2 linked regions of the Callithrix jacchus genome follow. The main gene of each other region encodes a partner of the protein of the gene in region 2 in a complex. Links are inferred from orthologs where the notes say so. Each region holds a gene or a part of one and is shown on either strand. Other genes may lie near its edges. The genes, in order: PTH2 and PTH2R.

The links.
Region 1: the proteins of PTH2R (region 2) and PTH2 are in contact, whole or in part, in a cryo-EM structure (PDB 7F16), measured with the Homo sapiens proteins. The link is inferred for Callithrix jacchus from reciprocal best matches to the Homo sapiens genes PTH2R and PTH2. Residues at the interface, in NP_005039.1 of Homo sapiens: Thr31, Ile32, Ile34, Gln37, Ile38, Asp68, Gly69, Leu70, Ile90, Tyr91, Asp92, Phe93, Met112, Lys117, Ala120, Tyr122, Leu126, Gln130, Pro131, Ser134, Lys137, Gln138, Phe141, Glu142, Tyr152, Arg190, Ile194, Lys197, Val201, Ile205; in NP_848544.1 of Homo sapiens: Ser62, Leu63, Ala64, Leu65, Ala66, Asp67, Asp68, Ala69, Ala70, Phe71, Arg72, Glu73, Arg74, Ala75, Arg76, Leu77, Ala79, Ala80, Leu81, Glu82, Arg83, Arg84, Trp86, Leu87, Tyr90, Met91, Lys93, Leu94, Leu95.

Annotation. Positions count from the first base shown.
Region 1 is NC_133523.1:43,184,829-43,188,061, forward strand, and holds PTH2 (parathyroid hormone 2), read right to left. Parts: upstream 1,590-3,233; 5' UTR 1,586-1,589; coding exon 1,461-1,585; exon of another isoform or gene 897-1,460; coding exon 722-896; 3' UTR 673-721; downstream 1-672. UniProt on the Homo sapiens protein: Plays a role as a potent and selective agonist of PTH2R resulting in adenyl cyclase activation and intracellular calcium levels elevation. Induces protein kinase C beta activation, recruitment of beta-arrestin and PTH2R internalization.
Region 2 is NC_133507.1:129,919,561-129,923,376, reverse strand, and holds part of PTH2R (parathyroid hormone 2 receptor), read right to left. Parts: intron 1,848-3,816; coding exon 1,734-1,847; intron 1,621-1,733; coding exon 1,499-1,620; intron 1-1,498. UniProt on the Homo sapiens protein: This is a specific receptor for parathyroid hormone. The activity of this receptor is mediated by G proteins which activate adenylyl cyclase. PTH2R may be responsible for PTH effects in a number of physiological systems.

The sequences.
Region 1 (3,233 bases), on a different chromosome or scaffold from region 2:
CCCGCAATCTTTTTTCCACTGTGCCTGGAGAGAAATGTGGAAGTGATGGGAGGGAGGAACCGCGAAATTTAAAGATGAGAGCCGGTGGAGAGACAGAAACCCAAAGGAGGGGAAGAAAAAACCAAAAAGGAAGATATGAAGGAGTCGGGCAGAGGAAAAAGGAAAAAAGAAAGTAATGGAGAAGGGAAGGAAGAGTTTCAAAGGCAGAAAGAGAATAGAGAGAGGAGGCAGAAGACTCGGAAGCCAAGAGGGTGATAGGGGAGATTCCTACAAGGACTCAAAAAGACGAGGACCCACACCCAGAGAGGAAAAAGACCCAGATAAGGGGGCAGAGACAGAGGGGGACAGAGACCTTGGAGATTACAGAGAACCAGAGAAAAGGGGGCAGAGATGGGGATAGGGTGGGACGGGGGCCCAGAGTGAACTGAGACAACAGAGCTGGGGCGGGGGGCGGTAGGGAAGCAAATATCCAGAAATAGGAAAGAAGCCAGCTGCCTGGACAGAGAAAGACCAAGGCAGAGAAACTGAATTGAGGAAAGATTATAATAGAGGGAACTGAAGGGAGAGATGCCAGAGTGGCCGACACAGAGTCCTGTCTCTTTTCTATTCCCTCCTTTCCCGCCCCGCCCCCCAATCCAACACACATGCAGGTCGCATAGGAACGAGTCGCAGTCCGGAGCGCACGGCAGGGTCTTTATTAAAGCGGGGACGGGCGGCGCGCTCAGGGCGCGTCCAGCACCAGCAGCTTGTGCATGTACGAGTTCAGCCAGTGGCGGCGCTGGAGGGCGGCCAGCAACCGCGCGCGCTCCCGGAAGGCCGCGTCGTCCGCCAGCGCCAGGCTCCTCCGCGGCCGGGGGGTGGCGGGATCCACCCAAGCCCGTCCTGGGGTGCGGAGGCTGTGGAGAGACGCGACGACCGCGCGTCCAGACCCGCGCTCGCCGCCGCCTGTCCTCCCCGCTGTCTAACTCGAAGCCCTGTTACTGCCCTGTCCGTGGAGTGGCTCGGTCTGGCTCCCCCTGTCTCTCTCGTTCTCTGTGTGGGTCTCTGCCCCTCTACTCACCAGGTTCGAAACTCCCTGGGTACTGAGAGCCAGTCTGATGCACCTGTCCGCCCCCAGCGCTCGGCGCATGGCCAGGAGCGCACCAAGAACCCAATAAATGTTGCTCAAAGGATGAATCCCTTTCTGCATCTACTCCTTTCGAGCCTCTCCACGCCTTTCTCAGGATCTGTCTTTCTGTCTCTTTCTCTTGCTGATTCTCTGTCCGTTTCCCGCACCATTACCACCAGCAAACCCCCCTCCGGTGTTTCCCCACTGCTAGTCTCTTTCTCGCTGGGTCTTGGTCACCCTCTCTTTGGGTTTCTGTCCCCCTGTCTGGGTCTTCCTCCGCCTTTCTCTTTGGTTCTCTTCCCACTTCTCCAAGTCCCCACCCTTCCCTGGGAGTCCTGGGCCTGGCACCTACCTGAGGACCCCGGCGGGGGGCAGGGCGACTCCCGAGACAGTGCGGACGCCCCAGGGCACCACCAGCAGCAGGAGCAGCAGCAGCCGCCGAACCCGAGGGCTCGTGGACACCTGGCGGGCCTCCATCACCTGTGGAGAACCAGAAAGGGGCTCAGTGGGGCGGCATCCCGGCCCAGAACCCCGGACCCCACCATGCACCCACCCTCAGCTTCCCGCACGGCCCCCTACCGCGCAGTGGGCTCGGGCAGCGGCGCTGGCAGCCCCCTTATATCGCCTCCGCAGCCCCCGCGCCGAGCAGTGACGCAGGCCGGGGGGCCGGGGGCGCGGGGTCACCCCCTCCCCAGGCTCATTAGGAGCCGCCAGCGGTAATGAGGAGCCGGGGGTGGGGGACCTGCCGATGCCTTGGCCGCCACCAACTAATTGGGACCAAAAGCTGGACCTGAGACGAGGGAGGGGGAGAGACAGACAGACAGAGAGGTGGACACAGGGGGTGTGTCAGAGGGATAAAAATAGAGACTGGCGGAAGGACCGTCAGAGAAACAGAGACACAAAGAGAAGGACAAAGACAGAGTGGCCAAGGAGGAAATAGAGTAAGAAAGGGAATGACACAAAAAGAAATAAAAAGGAAGAAAGCAAGAACAGAGAGGGAAGGAGACGGAAACGAACAATCAGATGGAGATGGAGGAATGAAGGAAAAGGCTCGCAGAAAGACAGATGGAAACGGAAGGACATCCTAGGCTGGACAGAGCTGCCACAGATAAATCCAGCAGGGAGACACCAGAAAGATTGAGAGCGAGACAGAGAGGAGGAAAAGGCAAGAGATGGCAAAAGGTACATGTGGCAGGGGTGCAAGGACAGGAAAAGTGACAGGCAAACATCAGAAAAGGCACAGAGAGAGCATGAAGAGGGGAAGAGACGGGATTCCCGAGCTGCCCTAAGGATGCATCTAAGCCCTTATCTGGGGGGAGTTTAGGGTGCTGTAAAGATTAATGCCCAGTCCTCCTCACACTGACTCTTGAGAGGGGCCTCAGTCAGGCACGATGGCTCACGCCTGTAATCCCAGCACTTTTGGAAGACCGAGGTGGGCAGATGACTTGATGTCAGGAGTTCGAGACCAGCCTGGCCAACATGGCGAAACCCCATTTCTACAAAAATACAAAAATTATGCTAGATGTAGTGGTGGGCACCTGTAATTCCAGCTACTCGGGAGGTTGAGGCATTAGAATCGCTTGAACCCAGGAGGCAGAAGTTGCAGTGAGCTGAGATCACACCACTACACTCCAGCCTGGGCAACAGAGCAAGACTCTCTTTCAAAAAAAAGAGGAGTCTCTATGCACAGTGAGGAGGAGATGAGAAAAACTTGGAAGTCCTACAGAGCAGCAGCTATCTGGGATGTGGGAACTTGGGCTCTTAAGGAGGGTGGTGGCAGATGCTTGGACTCCTGAGTCTAACAGTGGTTGGCACAGGGACCTAGAGTCCCAGGTTCTGGGGGAGAAGAAAGCTGGGGACTTGGATTGCTGGATCTGAGGAAGGAAGGAGCTAGAGGCCTGGACTTCTGGGTCTGGTAGGAGGGAGCTGGGGGATGAAACTTAGAGGACTTGAAATAGGAGGGTACCAGGGAATGAGACCACTGGGTTTCCAGGTAGGAGAGGGTAGAGGGCTGGGACCACTGGTTTCAAAAACATAGTTTAACGGGGCCACATCTCCGCTACAGCATCCCAGTTTCTAACTCCCTTCCCCACCCCAGGGACAACGTCCTTTACTTCTGTCTCTT
Region 2 (3,816 bases):
AATAGAAAATGTTCTTTGTGTTTTTAATTAAGGAGATAAAAATAAATTATTTTAACACAATTCTTCAAATTTTCTATTAACTTTTAAAGCATTGTACATAAACTAGTGCATATCTTGAGTATGGCCACCAACCATCTTTAGTTATTTTTATTCTTAAAATAGTAATCACAGAAAATGGTTATAAGATTAGAGTTCAGTATAAATTAAACCATGGTTTAATTTAATGGCCACTTAACAGTTCTGAAAAGTTTGCATTTTATATCATGTAATAAAAAAATAAATATAACCACAGAGTACACTAAGTATTGTGACTATTTATTTCTATCAATGAGATTGAAATTATTTTGAAGCACTTTATCTAAACTGAATGCTGACATTAGTTCCACTGTAGAGTACCTAACAATCTCCTCATCTTGACTTATTTTATCTAAGAAGCTTTTCAACAATTAAATGTAAAACTGAAAGTCTTTCAACCAATTCCTAAAGAGCTCATAAAGGTAGAAAATTAAGAAAGGAAGTTCTATTAATGCAAAATCAAAGAAAAAAACCTTCAACTCACTACTTCTCTTGCTGCTGTTCTCCCTCCCTATCTCTTCAAAACATTACCAGACCTAAAGAAATAAGTCAAAAGTTTGAAAAGTTTATGTATGATAGATTATTCTCAGGGTCTACATAAAGATAATTTACACACAATTTATCACACTAACCCCTAGCATTATATGCATATATCATCATGCATTTTTACTCACAAGGTCTAAGTGATATCAATTTAAACATGCCTTTTAAACCAATTTTTATAACTTAAAAGTCACTCTCTACAATATCTCAAAGTTTACATATTATTTCTATACTGGAAACAGCACTGATGTGAAATTAGGACATACAGGCTCTGCTTTAAACCCTGTTACCACCAAGCTATTTCACTTTGACCAATACCTAATCTCTGGTTCTCAGTTGACTCACATCTGTGAAATTAATATGCTGGAAGATTTATATGATGCCCCTTTCTCCTTTCAATCCTACAACTCTAATCTTTTATATGCTAATGAAATCACCTACTGGTAAATCTTATGAGGTGGAAAATACCCTCTGACATGCAAAGATCCTTCTGGAATATACAGATGAGATGTAGCCATTCACAGGTAACCGAGAAGAAATAATGAATCATGTTGCTAACTACCTATTGGGATTTTTATATGCAATATAGCATAATATAATGCAATGTAAACATAACATAATGTAACATAACACACATAACACATATACAGGTATATTTATAAGTATGGATGATGTATCTCAGCCAGGTAGCTCTAGGCTATAGAAAATACCAGAATAATTGATACACATCTGAAAAAATTGCAACATTGCTTTTATCTTTTATGATCCCTGTGTCATGAAATAAGAGGGTTTTTATATATAATAGTTGGCAATCAAGAATTGCATCAAAAACATCATTCTGCTTTCCCTTAGGAGTTCACAAATAGAAAAATTCCATTACCTTTCCTATGCTGATATCTGGCTGCAGAAAGCGAAGGCAGTCTGAATAATTGGCATATGTTTTATTTAAGCTGTGCATAAAATCCCATGTTCCATTGGGGTTGCAGTGTCGGAAAGCAACTCCTGTAAAGACATGAAAGGTGCTGAGATCACTCAGTTCCCTTAGAATCAATTAGCAAAAGCTAATGACGAGTAAATGTTTGTTTCAAATTAATCATTTCAGAAAAAGTCAATACCTTTATGGTTGAAGTCATAAATATAAGGAGGACATGGAACAGCCGATATTTTCCCCACTGTTCCTCTGGGCCAACAAATGAGTCCATCCCATTCAGGGAAACAATTACCTTCTACTGAAGAAAAAAAAAAGATAAACAAAAATGTAGTTGGAACCAGACAACAAATGCATTCAAAATGCAAAATTTCAGGTCATTGCCTATAGTAAAATTAAAACAAATTGGTAGTTTTAGAAACTAGATAGGATAGATACGATGCAAACGTCCCAAAATTCATCTCTGTGGCTTCATCAAAGGCCCATTCATAGGAACATTTGCTTTGCACACATTAAAAATATTCAAATTATTCCAGCATACTAGTTATAATGGCTATAGCAATTCATTTACAAGAAACATTGAAAATCATTGTGAACAACTTCCGTAGTCAAGTTCTTCTGACCACCATAGTCGTAGCTACCTTTTTACACTCAATTCTTGAAAACTGTTTTTAAAGAACATAACACCTGAAACAGTGCCCTTCACTGGTAAGCCCCAAGACTCAGGTTTCTCTTTTTGCCAATACTTTTAGCAATTTCCTTGAGTCTAACATTCATCTCAAACAAAATTCTCATAAACTCTACTCTTCTCAAGATTAATCCACAACTTCATCACTTCTCACAACTTCCACTGCAACCATGATAGTCCAATCCACTTCATGTCTGATCTGAATAAGTGCAACAGCCTATGACTGGTTCTCCTGATTCCAACATTTCTTTCTGCAGGACAATTTTCTGGGTGGCATCAAAGAACCCAATTCTCCCTGCCCCTCTTTCTTGTAGTTCTCAGGAATAACTATACAATGTGCTGTAAATGCAGCATGCTGAGATAAGGGCTGGAGAACTGCCTGGAACAGTCCAGGCTCTGTTCCAGACCCTCCCAGAAACAGGATGTCTCCAGACATTAGCCCAGTGCACCGTGTGTTCCCTGAGGTGTATAACCAGGGTTGGGCTGTTTGATGGGATCCCTCCGCTGTGGTGTACACAGTCCATGAGCAGCTGAGATTCCATGCAGCCCAGGGAGCTTTCCTGAGCTATGTGGGACCAGTTGCCAATGACTCCTAGGCTTCTGTTGTTCCTTGCTGCCTACCTGATGAGTTTGTGTCCTTTGTAGAGACATGGATGAATCTAGAAACCATCATTCTCAGCAAATTGACACAAGAACAGAAAACCAAACACCACATGTTTTCTCTTGTAGGTGGGTGATGAACAATGAGAACACTTGGGCACAGGGAGGAGAACACCACTCACTGGGCTAGGAGTTGGGGGTGAAGGGCAAGGGAGAGGAGGAAAAACAAAGGGGAGAGGGAGGGCAGGGAGGATGGGGAGAGATAACATGGGGAGAAATGCCTGATGTAGACGACACGGGAGGCCAGGGGGATGGAGACAGCAAACCACCATGGCATGTATGTACCTATGCAACAATCCTGCAGAGTGGAGGATGTGCACATGTACACCAGAGCCCAAAATACAATAAAATTTTAAAAAAAAGAAAATAGAGTTTTGTTTCGTTTTATTTTTTTGAGATGGAGTCTTACTCTGTCACCCAAGCTGGAGTGCAGTGGCACAATCTCGGCTCACTGCAACCTCCGCTTCCCAGGTTCAAGCAATTCTATCTTAGCCTCCCAAGTAGCTGGGACTATAAGTGCATGCCACCATAACAGGCTAATTTTTGTATGTTTAGTAGAGATGGGGTTTCACCATATTGGTCATGCTGGTCTCAAACTCCTGACCTCAGGTGATCCATCTGTCTCAGCCTCCCAAAGTGCTGGGATTACAACCATGAGCCACTGTGCCTAGTCAAAAAAATAGAGATCTTAACTAGCATTCTCTCCTTAATCATCACTGCCATCCTATGTGAGCAAATACTTTCATTATTTGGCAAGGATCTAATTAATTTGCTAATGGCTCACCAATCTCTCTTCATAAATCAGCACCATTAATTATAACTCTGTAATTCTTTTTGTGTGACAGGACAAACTAATTATGAGTGAAGCTCGTCAAACCATGACATTTATACAGAACAGTCTAAAATTTGAAGAATCTTTTTC